Lepisosteus oculatus: one gene and its partner. The protein of the gene in region 2 interacts with the protein of the main gene of each other region in a biochemical or structural test. Links are inferred from orthologs where the notes say so. Each region holds a gene or a part of one and is shown on either strand. Other genes may lie near its edges.

Region 1 (8,220 bases), on a different chromosome or scaffold from region 2:
CAATGTCACAAGCAGGTGGTCTTGCTCATTTGGTAGAATGCCTCCTGTTCCTGGTTTTAAAAGCCCTTTCATGTGGGCTGTGCCTGGAGAAAACATGGTGCTCACTCTGTGGACAGTCCTCTGTCTGTGCTGCTGTACACACAAAGAAGGCTCCACAGCCGAAACGCTGTGCTTCTTTTCTTCTCTATTCAGCATGGAATAAACCTTTACTTGATCCTTTGCATCTTCAGTGCAGTGTGACAGAGAGCTGTAGTGAACTCAACCCACTACAGTGCAGTGTGACAGAGAGGTATACTGAACTCATCCCACTTCAGTGCAGTAGGACAGAGAGCTGTAGTGAACTCAACCCACTACAGTGCAATGTGACAGAGAGCTGTAGTGAACTCAACCCACTACAGTGCAGTGTGACAGAGAGGTATACTGAACTCATCCCACTACAGTGCCTCGTGACAGAGAGGTATAGTGAACTCATCCCACTACAGTGCCTCTTGATAGAGAGGAATAGTGAATTCATCCCACTACAGTGCCTTGTGACAGAGAGGCATAGTGAACTCATCCCACTACAGTGCCTCGTGACAGAGAGGTATAGTGAACTCATCCCACTACAGTGCCTCGTAACAGAGAGATGCAGTGTGTTTCTGAAACAGGACTCCTCCAGCAAAGGAGTTTCTCTGAGTGGGTAGCCCTGAGTCAATCTGCACACACGTCACAACAGGTCTCTTTCTGTAGGCGAGGTGCAGGAGGGTGCTATTACACAGTGCTTTGGGCGTTCTGGTTTCGTCTGCCCACCTAGAAACCATCCCATTCCTGTGACAAGGCCTCATCTCTTTCACAGTGACGCAATCAGACTCCGTGCACTTTCTACAGTGACTGCCTTATTGCTCCAGGGCATGACATCGAGGAAGTAAAAATTACAATCTGATGTGAAAAACTCTGCAAAAAAGTGCAAAGACTCATTTTTAACAATATTCTTACCACCAACGTGCTGTGGTATGGTCCATGCCTTCCATACATAGTCCAAAAAACAACAAACGTCTCTGCCTCCTCTGTCAGACAATCACAAAAGACTCATTTTATAACTCACAGAATTGTACCAATGTTTTAAAGGATTCAGAACGTTGTTTTCACTGATGCAATGCCATCGCTTGTCTTCTAGGGATTCCTCTGCAGGGGACGATGTTCAAACTGCCTGCTTACGAGCTGCTAGTAACAGTACGAGGTCTCCTCACTCTCCACTCCACTTATGCCTTCAAGCACAGGTTTAAGTTATTGTGCCTCACCTCTCAGGAATGTGTTTCTTTGTGGAATAAGTGAAGCACAACATTCTTCAGCTCAATTCTCTCGTGTGGTGAATGAAGACGGTCCCTCCCACAGATATTTGGGATGCTTGTGAATGAAAAGCTCAATCAACATACAGCAAAATCAGTTCTTGGTAGTGGAAGGCAACTTATCAATTCATCTTTTACTTGCTTTAGCTGACAGTTTTATTGGAAGTAGCACATGCTTGTATTTATACAACTGACCACCTTACTGAAACAGCTCAAGCAAAGGGTTCAATAGCTGTTCCCTGTGATTGGAACCTGCAACCACCCCATCATACGTCCAGGGCCTTAACAGCTACTCAACACTCCTGCCTTCAAGTCCTGAACGGAAATCTCTTCTCCACCTGCACGAACTCTGAGCTTTATATGCACAGCTGCTGTTCATAAAAATCAGTTTAAGATCAGTGTCATGCAAGGCGGCCTGTAAGGAAGAAGTAGAGAGCACTCCAATTTCTGAGCTGACTTACTTGAGGTACTGGGCTAGAGTGCCTCCATCCCATTCCCATGGTCCAACTGCAGCCCACAGCATGACACTCAAACTAGGACTTGGGCTCACAACACCAAGCACCAGCAGGACCGAGGAAACACAACTGTCTAAGGTGACTGAGCTCAGTCCCAGAATGCAGGAGGCTGTATAAGTGTCTAAGGTGCCGCTGCAGTAGGTGACTGAGCTGTCAGAGTCATTATGCCAACACTCCCCCACCCCCATGGAGACAGCATCTCAGTGATCCGTACAGAAAGCCAAGGTCTGACCTGCTCTGATTTCACAGAGCACAGAGCACATCCTGGTGGCTGGTGGATGTCTCAGGCACATACGAGTGGACAACAGTTGTTGGCCTTTCAGTTTATCTATCCTTTCCTACAAGCCAGCAGTCAGATTCCCAGTTCATGGGAGACTCCGTGTTGCTCCAGGACTGGTCAGGGCCCTGGAGTGGTGACTAGGAGGTGGAGGGCTCATATTCCAGGTAGGACACAAGCAGCAAAAGTAAAACAGTAAAATGCTGAACAATGGGAGGTCGCTTTGGATAAAGATGTTAGCAACTATATTAACAGTGATGTTGTGGTGCAATGCTTCAGCCAAAGTCCAACTGCTCTAACAGCCAAATCACTCAGCTCTTGTGAACTTCCTCCTCAGGCCTGCACATTTTCCTATGCTACCTGTCAGAAGCTCATAGCGTTAGTGTCACCCGTGTGAACGTCAGTGTTATCGCTGCACCTGTTTCCGAACTCACAAGTTCACGTAACTCACTACTGAGTCCAACTTCTCGTGACCGCATTGACCTAGCTCTGTCGTAACAGCACACGCGAAGAAAGCGGCCACAGGATCGTTTTGTCGTGAGATATGCTCTGTCTTATGCAATGTTTTCCAATAAATCTAGATATGCAATAATTCCAGCAACTCGCTCATGGCCAACTACGCCAATGCACAAATCACATCACTAAGCCTCCGTATTCCTTAAATAAACGCTTTTCGGGTACACTGTTTTTGATATCCTTAGACAACATCCACTAACTCAACACAGCCCTTTGTCCTGCTCCACTTTGCATAAACTGAAGAGAATCCAGAGGCGATTATCTGCAAACCTTGCGTGGGTAACTTTCCTCGTCTAGTATCTGCTAGTTTTTTTTTTAAGAAAATGAAACATGGATGAGAGAGGAAGGTTACACAATCCGCACAGGGCTCAACGTTTCACCCCCCTATGGAGATTAACGACAATCACCGACGATTACTTTCGAATGCGTTCTTTTACCCAAAACCGAAAAAAAAGTGCAAAACACTGCTCTTCACGCACGCATTCAGCACAGCCACCTCTGCCTTCTCCTCCGACTTCCTCTTTTAAAAGAGTTTCATTACTGTCAGTGCACCGAAGTGCAACAAAAAACTAAACTTTATTACCCAGAGGGTTCAACGTGACACACGGCAGAAAGACTGCGGCTGGAAGGATTCAAGTCACTTTGTGAACCGTGCGCCCTGACAGACGGGCAGGGCAGTGCAGGGGCGGGTGTGTGCGCACCGATGAGCGCTCTGGGGAGACAGCCTGCCCCAGCCTGTCAGACAGCACACGATCTCGGTCTTTACCTTGCCAAACTTCTGGTGCTGGACGTAGAGTTGGCCTTCTTTAACGTGCGTATCCATCTCCTTCCGTTCCCCCCGAGAGAGGGTTTTGTTTTCTTGTGAACTTGTCACACGGTTGAATGACTTTTTTTTCTCCTTTTCAGTTTCTTAACTTCTTTTTTTTTCGCCCCCAGACTTCCTACTGCCTGTAACTTCCGCTTGGCAAACGGCAGACGTTGGGGCTTGTGCACCAGCTGCGCTACCGAGAGCCACTGAGCCCGGACTGCTCCTGCTGCCCCATCGGCCACGCGAAGCGTCGCTGCCTCCGCGGCGTGCAAGCCGTGTTCTCCGCGCGAGCGCACGCAGGTCCCCGCCACGCCGCGCCACGCCTCGCAGCGAGTGTGAGTGCGGGACCGGGCTGTGACAGGCGCTGTACTTCGGTCCCCGCCAGCTCCCTCCCTCCGGCTCTGCCCCCGCACAGCGACCCAGCCCCCTCCGCACCCACCCCGCGCCGCGTCACGAGTGGCACAGCGGGGGCCCGGCAGCGCGCAAGCGGACGTTTCGCCCAAAATGTAGCAAAAAAAAACAACACAATTTTGTTCCAACTTAGAATTGCAAGAAGCGCTGAGAAACTCAATGGAGTGATGGACGTGTTTCACATTAAAAGTTGCGCATTAGTAATAGGTGAATGTATATAAAATGTGAATTTGGCTGCGCAGAGTGTGGCATTTACAGTTGTCTGATCTGGGTAAAACTCATTTGGGGAAACATATTTTTAAATTGTTTTCCTGAGCGTTTAAAAGTGAGCTTCTGGCGATGCGTGGCTGACTTGTTCAGTCTTTGTAATTGTATTGTTGCCTCTAGATGGAATTGATCAAATTCAAATGTAGAATGCCAAGTATTAACTATTAATTATCAAGAGCGCACACGTTAAGCACATTACAGGATCATTTAGACACTGCGGTTAGAAGAGTGTACATTTTAAAATCAATTGAAGTTGATGTTTAGGTTACACAATCTGGTATGACCCCAGTTTGAATACTTCGACATGTGGGCGCTACAGGACCAAAGACGACTTTCCTGCTCTGCTCTGCTCGGCAAGTGGGTTAGTTCGGGGCTCGAGGGAAATGCTGTGCAGACACGGAATCTCTTCAGTCCTCGACAAGAAACTATCAGAGCGCTGGATACCCCCGTAGTTAAAACGCTCAAGAGGAAATTGATCAAGTCCGTCCGAGTCATATGGATTCCCAGACCAACTGGAAAACAAGAATGAGGACGCGAAAAAGACACAAGTAGAAAAGGGCTTTTCTTTACACAAAGGATTGTTGTGTAGAAGTACTGTAAATCCCACCCGGGTCCTACGCGAAAAAATCACGACCGAGATCATCGCAGAAGCAAGGTAATATCAAGAGCGCTGTTAGTGTTACTGACTCATGACCTTCCACCGCCCGAATCAAGAGCGAGAGCTCGGTCATCCTCGACCCCCGCAGCTGTCAACCGGCTGCATCTGAAACAGCGGCGCGTATTTGCTTTACATCTGTTTGCTCTCCCATCATTCATCTGTTAAATGTGTACTGTGTGAAGTGTCATGTCTTGAGCTGCATGCACGGCACATTCTCCATCTGGGTCAGTGAAGTACAGGGAGAGCACAAATCAAGAGACGGGTCAGATGGTCTCTGTCATCTTTATTTTCACTCGTGCACCCGATCCTGAAACATAACACAAATTCATTGATAGAGAAATAACCTACTAAATTACCTATAATTAATATCGGCTTGGACAACACTTCTTGTGATACAGAAAACAAGATCTCCAGAGCTTTACACATTCATTTTAATATCACAGACATGGCCACGGAAACCGCGACATCCTTCATTTAATTTTCATATTTTATTTGGTGTAATATATAGTTCCTTGATTTCAACCCATTCATCAATGATGTGCGTTTAAGGATTATAGAAAGGCGGTTTTATTCATAACACATTTTCCACACACTTGAAGTTAGCAGTGGTTTCGCTGAATGTCTACGCAATTCGCAGATTTCTTTAAATAACGATTCGATCGAACACAAAACTATCAATTAAATCACGGGTGCTGTGGCTTATGACTTTATTTTCCAGCTACGTTTCCCTGCTCTGGGAAAGCCCAGTGTTTGCATTAAGCACCGTGAAGGTGCAGTTCAGTCAGCTGAGGCATCAGAGCCAAAGGCGCAGCGAGATATCAAGTGCTGGTGGAGTCTAGCTAGAGGGCGCTACAAACACTCCTGCTTGAATCAGAAGAGTCCTACTGGGGGAGGGAGGAGGAAACTCAAGAGAGTTGCAGCCCAGTGTGAGATCTGCTGTCCCAGCCTGAGGAACAAACAGTGAGTCTGTCTCTCAATAACAATAATACAGTGTGTGATCTCCTGTCCCAGCCTGAGGAACAGTGAGTCTGTCTCTCAATAATAATAATACAGTGTGTGATCTCCTGTCCCAGCCTGAGGAACAGACAGTGAGCCCGTCTCTCAATAATAATAATACAGTGTGTGATCTCCTGTCCCAGCCTGAGGAACAGTGAGTCTGTCTCTCAATAATAATAATACAGTGTGTGATCTCCTGTCCCAGCCTGAGGAACAGACAGTGAGCCTGTCTCTCAATAATAATAATAGTGTGTGATCTCCTGTCCCAGCCTGAGGAACAGTGAGCCTGTCTCTCAATAATAATAATACAGTGTGTGATTTCCTGTCTCAGTCTGAGGAACAGACAGTGAGCCTGTCTCTCAATAATAATAATACAGTGTGTGATCTCCTGTCCCAGCCTGAGGAACAGTGAGCCTGTCTCTCAATAATAATAATACAGTGTGTGATTTCCTGTCTCAGTCTGAGGAACAGACAGTGAGCCTGTCTCTCAATAATAATAATACAGTGTGCGATCTCCTGTCTCAGTCTGAGGAACAGACAGTGAGCCTGTCTCTCAATAATAATAATACAGTGTGTGATCTCCTGTCCCAGCCTGAGGAACAGTGAGTCTGTCTCTCAATAATAATAATTCAGTGTGTGATCTCCTGTCCCAGCCTGAGGAACAGACAGTGAGCCTGTCTCTCAATAATAATAATACAGTGTGTGATCTCCTGTCCCAGCCTGAGGAACAGACAGTGAACCCGTCTCTCAATAATAATAATACAGTGTCATCTCCTGACACAGCCTGAGGAACAGACAGTGAGCCTGTCCCTAAATAATAATAATACAGTGTGTGATCTCCTGACATAGCCTGAGGAACAAACAGTGAGTCTGTCTCTCAATAATAATAATACAGTGTGTGATCTCCTGTCCCAGCCTGAGGAACAGTGAGCCTGTTTCTCAATAATAATAATACAGTGTGTGATCTGCTGTCCCAGCCTGAGGAACAGTGAGCCTGTCTCTCAATAATAATAATACAGTGTGTGATCTCCTGTCCTAGCCTGAGGAACAGACAGTGAGCCTGGCTCTCAATAATAATAATACAGTGTGTGATCTCCTGTCCCAGCCTGAGGAACAGACAGTGACCCTGTCTCTCAATAATAATACAGTGTGTGATCTCCTGTCCCAGCCTGAGAAACAGACAGTGAGCCTGTCTCTCAATAATAATAATAGTGTGTGATCTCCTGTCCCAGCCTGAGGAACAGTGAGCCTGTCTCTCAATAATAATAATACAGTGTGTGATTTCCTGTCTCAGTCTGAGGAACAGACAGTGAGCCTGTCTCTCAATAATAATAATACAGTGTGTGATCTCCTGTCCCAGCCTGAGGAACAGTGAGCCTGTCTCTCAATAATAATAATACAGTGTGTGATTTCCTGTCTCAGTCTGAGGAACAGACAGTGAGCCTGTCTCTCAATAATAATAATACAGTGTGCGATCTCCTGTCTCAGTCTGAGGAACAGACAGTGAGCCTGTCTCTCAATAATAATAATACAGTGTGTGATCTCCTGTCCCAGCCTGAGGAACAGTGAGTCTGTCTCTCAATAATAATAATACAGTGTGTGATCTCCTGTCCCAGCCTGAGGAACAGACAGTGAGCCTGTCTCTCAATAATAATAATACAGTGTGTGATCTCCTGTCCCAGCCTGAGGAACAGACAGTGAACCCGTCTCTCAATAATAATAATACAGTGTCATCTCCTGACACAGCCTGAGGAACAGACAGTGAGCCTGTCCCTAAATAATAATAATACAGTGTGTGATCTCCTGACATAGCCTGAGGAACAAACAGTGAGTCTGTCTCTCAATAATAATAATAATACAGTGTGTGATCTCCTGTCCCAGCCTGAGGAACAGTGAGCCTGTTTCTCAATAATAATAATACAGTGTGTGATCTGCTGTCCCAGCCTGAGGAACAGTGAGCCTGTCTCTCAATAATAATAATACAGTGTGTGATCTCCTGTCCTAGCCTGAGGAACAGACAGTGAGCCTGGCTCTCAATAATAATAATACAGTGTGTGATCTCCTGTCCCAGCCTGAGGAACAGACAGTGACCCTGTCTCTCAATAATAATACAGTGTGTGATCTCCTGTCCCAGCCTGAGAAACAGACAGTGAGCCTGTCTCTCAATAATAATAATAGTGTGTGATCTCCTGTCCCAGCCTGAGGAACAGTGAGCCTGTCTCTCAATAATAATAATACAGTGTGTGATTTCCTGTCTCAGTCTGAGGAACAGACAGTGAGCCTGTCTCTCAATAATAATAATACAGTGTGTGATCTCCTGTCCCAGCCTGAGGAACAGTGAGCCTGTCTCTCAATAATAATAATACAGTGTGTGATTTCCTGTCTCAGTCTGAGGAACAGACAGTGAGCCTGTCTCTCAATAATAATAATACAGTGTGCGATCT
Region 2 (8,292 bases):
GTATATGACGGCACTAGGGAGTTTTAAGAGAAATTGCATCTACTAACATGTCAACTAACTTTGGCACACCTTATGTCCTTTGGAAGAAAAACAACTAAGTTAATCATACAAAAGCAAAACACGAGAAAAAGAATGTCCTCTATGCTGCATTTATTAATGACCTGTTTTTGGGTGTTCTCCAGTCATTTCACAGATATTCAAGCCAAATACCTTTTTCTCCCAAGGTGGCCAATGCACATTCCGGTAAACACCAGGAAAAAGGTGTGCATACACACACTGGAGCAAACATTTTGCTTCAATACACTGAACAAGTAGAGACTTTGTGGAAACCTAAGTGATCCCCACTGGCAATAGCAAGGCTGTGGTTGCTATTAAGCCAGCTGCTTTCGGATGTGGAAGAAATGATTAATGGGAGAAACGATTAGATCTTACAAGTAGCTCCACAAGTTCCAGCTTCGGCAGGGCTCTTAACCTGCTCTAGAAGAGGGAAACCACATAATCCCCCCAATTTATATATAAAATCAAACTGAAACAAGTCCAGATAAGATCACAGTGTTATCAGAGAATATGAATGTTACACACAACTACAGGAGTAGTATCATCCTATTGACAGTATCTAAGGACTTCATGCAGAGTACAACTGACTTACAGGTATGTATTTTAGTGAGCTATATAGTTTTTCTTTCAGGAGCTTTTTACCTATAAAAAATAGCAGATAACGTATGTTAAATAGAAACCATTTTTAACTCCGCACTGTTGATATCTTGCTGAATCTGTGTGAAGGCCAAGGAATTACACAGGAAAAAGGATCCATTTAAACATACAAACCAGACTCGTATTAATTCAGTTTCAGACCGGAGGCATTTAGGTTAGTAAGGTAAAGCCAAGGAAGGACGTTTTTTGGCTACCAGTAAAGTCTGTGCACTGCAACACCAGGACAAGGGCTGACATTTTTCCAAAGAATTCTATGCCACAAATAACATTCAAATTTCTTGAAGTTGTGCATTTCCAGGATCATGTTAATGCTTGTTTTATATAAACCTACTGGAAAATACTGATTTAACTAATGCTGGCCATTTTATAAAAGTACAATACCTGAACGTGGGGATTTTTGCATCCTGGCTGTTGTGTGGCTTCCATGCACCCCTGAGCAAGACACATTAGTAAGGGTGCGAATCTGTGCTCCAGAACCTTTTCCTTAACAAGGCCTCATCCTCGTGTCTGAGCACGTCTAAATATTTTCATTCCCCTATCGCTTGTGTATATGGCACTAAAGTAAATTCATTTTTCTTTAAATCTGGCGTAAACGTGGCACTAGAGCTAAACGATATCACACCTTGCAGTTGACAACACTTCCTTTGCAGTAGTTCAGTGAGAGGGAACAGCAGCCTTTACTCGTGTGTAACTTGACAGAGCCGAAGCTCACTGCTGTTAACAGGTGGTTAGTGCCCGCACGTGAAAACCTGAAAGCATTTTTTTTTCTCGCCTTCCAATCGTGAGTCTCATGGTTTGCAGCTCTCAAAACCCACACGACTGTAAATTCACTTTTCAATTTTGAACCACTTTCTTTCTCTCCTTACCTGCAACTTCTTGTTCATTTTAATATGCGATCAAGGTATATACCCATCTGTATGCACACATACATATCCATCACCAAAACCTAAGGAACCAGATAAACCGTTCTGTGGCACTATACAGAGCTGCAGGCGTTGTGGGTGTTCACCAAAATTGGCTCAGGATTAACTCCACAGCAAATGAAAACTACAAGAGCGTTTAATTTAGTCCTACTGAATCGAGTTACTTTTTTTTTTAAGCACAATCTCTCTCTCTCTCCCTGCTCAATTAACCAGCTCACGACATTTCCTGTCCCTCGGAATGGACCAGACCCTTGCAGAGCGAGCATACTGTGTTAAGGCAAGAAACTCTCGTCCTGGCGATGAAGTTTTCTTTAGTCTGAGGTAACTGCACTGTAAATGGACAGTACAACAGGAAAGCGTCGCTCTGCAGGTGTCTCAGTGTTGCGTCTGAAGACAGGCCGATTCTTCAAACTCCAATGTTTTAGACAGTAAAAAAGGCCCTGTTCTACCGAGGTGAAAGGATTTGTATCGGCTGTCTGCGACAGGGCGCTGATTCAGCAGCAAGGCTTAGAAAGTTTTTATGGAGAGGTTGTTTGCATCCGGCGCTGCAGCGCTACTCCCTGCAGTTTGAAGCGCACATCAAACCGCTGGCTGTCAACAAGTTGTACCATCAAACTTCACAGCTAAGCGCGGCTCGGATCTCTCCCGAGAGCCCTCTCGTTAACACACAACCGACTTCTTTTCTCTCCCCCGTTTGTTGTGGTGGTGGTGGTGGTTGTTCAAATCATCTTACTTTTTCAATAAATCCCCCCTAACTTACTGGTTCGTAGGCGGCGCGGTCAGCGGGAAGGCGACCTCCTCTTCCTCGTACTCCGCGCCGTCCAGCATGTCGTTTTCGTCCACCGTCCCCAGACCCCCGCAGACGGGGGGCGGCGGAGGAGGGGGCGGCAGAGGGGGGAAGGCGGCGGCGGGCCCGTCCGGACCCCCCGACGTCGGCGACATCCGGATGCCCTGCGCCTCGGGGGTGGGGGGACCCGCCGCCCCGGCCCCCGCGGACGAGCTGCCCCCAGACGGCGAGGGCTGCCCGGCACCGGTGCCACTCCCAGCGCCGGCCACCGGGCACAGGACGACCTCCGAGGGGCCGTCGGGCGGGCGGTGGTGGAGGAGGGCCGGGGCTGCTCCTGGGGCCGACTCACTCACCCGCAATCTCGGCTGGGCAAAGAAAGCAAAGTGGGCCTCCGGGCCTCCGGCGGCAGAAACCCCGGTCCCGGCCGAAACCGAACCTGCCTCCTCGCTTCCGACCTCCGCCGCCATCATGATTTTCTTATAGATTTTTTTTTTCTTCGGGTCCTTCGTTTGTTGTTTCTCGTTGTGTGTGTATATATATATAAAATATGAGCATGCAAAAGAGAGGAGAAAAAGGAAGGAAGGGAGGGAGAGGGGGAATAAAAGGGGTGGAAAAGGGATCCTTCCCCCCAGTCTGTCTTGGGACTCTTGGTTTTTTGTCTCTCTCTCTTGCTCTCTGAACAAACAAAAAAAAAAACAACAAAAAGCTCAGCTCCAAAACTTTCAACTTGGAAGAACTACACCACCTCGCTGGTGCTCCGCCGCCACAGTCCTGCTGAATGCACACGCTCGACAAACCTCCCCCCCCACACACACACACACCCCCCTCCAAAACAAAAACAAAACAACCGCGGACGGCTGGGCTCCAAAAATGAGTTTTTAAGTCTCCATCCTCGTCGCCGGGCTGGGGAAAAGTTGAAGAAAGTGTGGCACCGAGCGAGCAGGGTGCGAGGCAGAGACACGGCGTCTCCCCTCTCCGGGGCAGCAGGTCCACTTGTCGGGAGCGTGTGGCTTATTGTCAGTCTCTGCCTCCCAGGCTTCTGTCTTTCTTTCTTTTTTGTCTCTCTCCCTCTCTCTTCTTCTGCTTTGCTTGTTTCAGCGGCGATTTCCAGCCTGCAGTTGTGAACACCTCTCCTCTCTCTCTCTCTCTCGCCCCCTGGCCGTTGCAATGCCCGTTTCCTCCGCTCGCTTCTGTTTTAGATTGGCCCCTCGCCGTAGCCCAGCCGGATGTGAAAAAATTGTTAGATTGTTTCTTGCGCAAGTTGGTGTTTTTTTTTTTTGTTCGTTGCGCTGCCGAGAGCTGTGGGTTGTTGTTTTTTTTCCCCCTCCCCTGCGCTGCCGAGAGAGCTATAGCTCTTACCTCTCTCTCCCGTACTGGAAGCGTGTTGACGCTCAGGCTCAGACCCGGCCAAGCGAGCGCCGAGCGGCTCGACCGCGCCTTCGATTCGCCCGGCTTCTGAGAAAATCACTGCCTGAGAAGTGGGGCAATGGAATGGATTTCTCTTATTTAAAAAAAACAAACAAACAACAACAACTCTTTTTTTACCATTATACAGAAAAACAACAACGTAAACTGGGGCAGAAGAGGAACGTTTAACTTATTTTTTTCCCTGTACAGTAACATTTTGGACAACCCCCTTCAATCTCTGTGGACAACCTACTACTACTACTGCCAGAATAAAATAACTGAATCTTTTCAACGCTGAACAGAGAAGACTAGGAGGGGTGTTCAGAACAGTGTTCAAAACCCCCCCGAAGCACTGACAGAGAGATAAACCTGACTTCTTCAGGCCTGAAAGTGAAAAATAAACCAGCAGGCATAAGTGGGATCTATGGATGAGTGCATTTAAAGCTTAGAACAGGAGGCTCTTCTCTACACAGAGGACTGCAGGAGTATGGAACAGTACGTGTAGCTGAAGCTAGAGTCCTGGCTTCTTTCAAGGAACAGCTGAATCAATGAAAACAGCTAGGATCAATTAGCTACTGATAATGCACATTAGCTGGTCTAATGACCTGATTATTTCTAAGCTTTCTTGTGTTTTATTCACCAGTGTATACAGTAAGTACACAACACATTGTAGAGCCATCTGCCAGGACAGTGTCCAAGGAGCTAGGAAAGGGAGCTCAGGATATTGGGACTGGCTCTGTGGGAATGATGGGAAGCCTCCATCGACAGTACACGGCTGTGTAGCATTTCTTTGTCTGAGCTGTTCCTTTGTTGCTCCCTTCTGTCACACTGTCACCCTGCCTGCCTTGGCTGCTTCAATATCCGTGGGGTCCAGCCTCCCATGCGTGAGTCTGAGTGCTCCCTGTGTTGGTGATTCTGAGTATTTCAGGCTTAAATGAGGGGCGTGGCTCAATAATGAGCCCGGTTCTGCCCCTGGGAGTCCCTTCCTGGCGCTAGAAACTTGCATCTGTTTAAAAGCACTGCAGTATGTACATTAATATGCTGCGGCGTTTATACTTGCCTCTTTACTCATTCTTACAATGACTTTCATTTGTACGCCTTACACTCATATTCCTACCCTCTCCCTCAACTCCCTGCACAACTAGAAACACAGGCAAATTACCGGGTTTCTTCCCATTTTCCTTCTAGTGTGGAATCACCACTACTTGTCAAATCCAAAACAGGGTCACGGGGAGCCTGGAGTGTCAGAGCCGACATTGGCAAGCTACAGGCATGAGATGAGGTACCCCCTGGATGGGACACACACTCACACCAGGGCTTATTTTCCCAGAAGCCAATTAACCTACCAGTTGGTCTTTTTAACCATGGGAGGAAAGCCATGCAAACAGTAGGAGAACATAGAAGCTCCACGCAGATAGCATCCCAGGAACTGAAAACAGGGCCCCAGTTCTGTGAGGCAGTGATGCTAACCACTGTGCCACTGTGCTGCCCTTGCAACAGTTTTGTAGTTCTGAATCTAATACTTTAATACAATTGTTAATTTAATCTCAATATAAGGAAGAAAAATCTATGTTCTGATTGTTTCAGTTGCTCAGGGAGTTACTCAGAACATTTGCCTTTTGCAGGTGTTCCCTGATGTGACAGTCACCCTAATACAACCACCACGCCAGCATACATAGTGTAACGCTTATGGCCGACAAGCACTGTGTGTAAGAGCCGGCGTACCAGAGCGGGTGACGTCACCGCCCTTCCCTGTGATAGCAGGACCACAGCTACTGGGCTGTGGAGAGATCTCTCATTAGCTCACGGGGCTAGGTCGCTGCAGAGAGATGCGGAAGTCCCGGGTTCGAGCCTCCAGTCGGGATGGGGCCGACCAGATGCGGCAAGGGAAGGGCGGTGACGTCACCTGCTCTGGTACGCCGGCTCTTACACACAGTGTTACAATATCATCCTACAACTCACAGCTGGCAGCCCACTGGAGCTCAGCAGGTGTGAGCCTGGTCAGTACCTGGATGGGAGACCTCCTGGGAAAAACTAAAAAGGTGTTAGTGGGGCCAGCAGGTGACACTCACCCTGCGGTCCATGTGGGTCCTCATGCCCCAGTAATATAATAATAATAATAAACTTTATTTTATATAGCGCCTTTAAAGGTGGCTTCTCAAAGCGCTTTACAGGATGACAATAACAATAAATAAGAAGACTACAACAATAAATAAGAAAATTTCACAAGACAGGACACAATTATGATTGCAACAATACAACAGTAACAATAGAGGAGACCGTAGAAGATGGTATTAAGAAGAGCAGAGGGGTGAAGAATGGAACCAGTTAAGTAAAGGCTTTTCTGAAAAGGAGGGTTTTGAGTCTGGATTTGAAGGAGTTTAGAGAAGGTGACTCTCTAATATCCTTGGGCAAAGAGTTCCAGAGCTTGGGGGCATAGCAGGAGAAGGCCCTGTCGCCCATACAATGTAGACGGGCTTGGGGGACAGTAAGGAGGGCAGAATTTGAAGAGCGGAGGTTGCGAGGTGGGGAGTAGGGCGATAAAAGTTCAGACAGGTATTGAGGTGCCAGGCCATGTAAAGCCTTGTAGGTGAGCATGAGGATTTTAAAGTCTACACGGAATTTGACCGGAAGCCAGTGCAAGGACTCCAGGATAGGAGTAATGTGAACACTTGCACTAGACCTGGTCAGGATTCTGGCTGCTGAATTTTGGACATACTGCAGCTTGTTCAGAGTAGATTTAGATACCCCAGGGAGCAGAGCATTGCAGTAGTCAATTCGAGAGAATACAAATATGTTGATTAGCTTTTCAGCCACAGTTAATGATAGCATAGGGCGTAGTCTTGCGATATTTCTAAGGTGAAAAAAAGATGTTTTGACAGTATGCTGTACATGTGGGTCGAATGTTAAGCCAGAATCGAATATAACCCCAAGGTTTTTCAATTTTGATTGGAGCTCAAGTACAGAGCCATCTACAGACAGGGTTACAGGACTGGCTTTACGAAGTTGATGGGGGGTACCAATAAGCATGACTTCAGTCTTGTCACAGTTAAGATGAAGGAAGTTTTGAGTCATCCAAATTTTTATGTCAGAGATGCAATTAGATAGAATAGAGACAGCCACATCAGTGTCGGGTTTGGTATGGATGTATATTTGAGTATCGTCAGCGTAAAATAGTGATGGGGACACAATACTGTGCCGGATGAGACATAAAACCAAAGTCCTGACTCTCTGTGGTCATTAACAATCCCAGGGTGTCTCTCAAAAAGAGTAGGGCTGTTACGCCAGTGTCCTGGCAAAATTTCCCATTGGCCCTTACCAATCATGGCCTCCTAATAATCCTCATCTAAGAATTGGCTTCATTACTCTGTTCTCCTCCCCACTAATAGCTGATGTGTGGTAAGTGTACTGGCGCACTATAGCTGCCGTTGCATGATCCAGGTGGGGGCTGCACTTTTGGACTGGTAGAAGGGAATCCCCATTACCTGTAAAGCGCTTTGAGTGGAGTGTCCAGAAAAGTACCACATAAGCGTAAGGAATTACTATTATAATTATTACATACACACAGGCTGCCAGACCTTATAACCGCTGAATGAGGGTGAGTTTGACAACAGAGTGAAGATTTCAGCCATCTTAATGGGGTGGAGCCGTGGCACTGTGGCTAAGAATCTGCGTCTGTGGCTGGAAGGTTGCCAGAGGAATCCTACTCCGTTGGGCCCCTGAGCAAGGCCCTTAACCCCAGCTGCTCCAGGGGCCCTGTATAAATGACAGACCCTGTGCTCTGACCCCAAGATTCTTTTCCTATCTGTGTGTCTCATGGAGAGCAAGCTGGGGTATGCAAAAATACAAATTCCTAATGCAAGAAATTGTATATGGCTAATAAAGTGATCTTATCTTAAACAGAATGGAAAGAGGTGATACTATTCTGCTGAGGGTTTTGACAAAATGGCTAGAATATCGGCAGCTGTGATTGCTAACAGGCACTGGTAGAGAAAAGGAGCAGTGGAGAGGAAGCCCACACTAGGACTGAGAACTTGGCTGCTGTGAATATCCTGTTCCATGGGCTGAGTTGCTGACTCATCGTTTTAGGTTGTGATTGGTTGTGATTGGCCTCTGTGTTCTCAGTTTCTATTGGTTCATGTTTCACAGCTTTGTTTTGGATTGGTTTGGGGTGTCTTCTTTTCAGACTGTCTGTTATTAGGTTAGGGGATAATCCACTTGTGCCATCTGAGACCCCATAAAAGGGTACTCTTTGGTCTGCTTAGTCTCCTGAATATGAACCACTATGAACCAATATGAAAGGTTTTCACTCTTATTCCTGTCTTTCCACAATCTTCAAAGCCTCAGCCAGGATGCTGATTTGCTCAGTTCAACAGATTATTTGGAAAATAAGTGGAGGGTAATAAGATAATACATTGTTTTCTCAGCTTTCTCTAATGCTTTTATAGTCTGGGATGCCTG

The links.
Region 1: the proteins of ras GTPase-activating protein 1 (region 2) and dok1b form a complex in vitro, tested with the Homo sapiens proteins (2 studies listed by BioGRID, with this or other methods). The link is inferred for Lepisosteus oculatus from reciprocal best matches to the Homo sapiens genes RASA1 and DOK1.

Annotation. Positions count from the first base shown.
Region 1 is NC_090696.1:2,884,455-2,892,674, reverse strand, and holds the start of dok1b (docking protein 1b), read right to left. Parts: upstream 3,869-8,220; 5' UTR 3,460-3,868; coding exon 3,403-3,459; intron 1-3,402. UniProt on the Homo sapiens protein: DOK proteins are enzymatically inert adaptor or scaffolding proteins. They provide a docking platform for the assembly of multimolecular signaling complexes. DOK1 appears to be a negative regulator of the insulin signaling pathway.
Region 2 is NC_090698.1:71,891,201-71,899,492, reverse strand, and holds the start of ras GTPase-activating protein 1, read right to left. Parts: upstream 3,818-8,292; 5' UTR 2,895-3,817; coding exon 2,398-2,894; intron 1-2,397. UniProt on the Homo sapiens protein: Inhibitory regulator of the Ras-cyclic AMP pathway. Stimulates the GTPase of normal but not oncogenic Ras p21; this stimulation may be further increased in the presence of NCK1.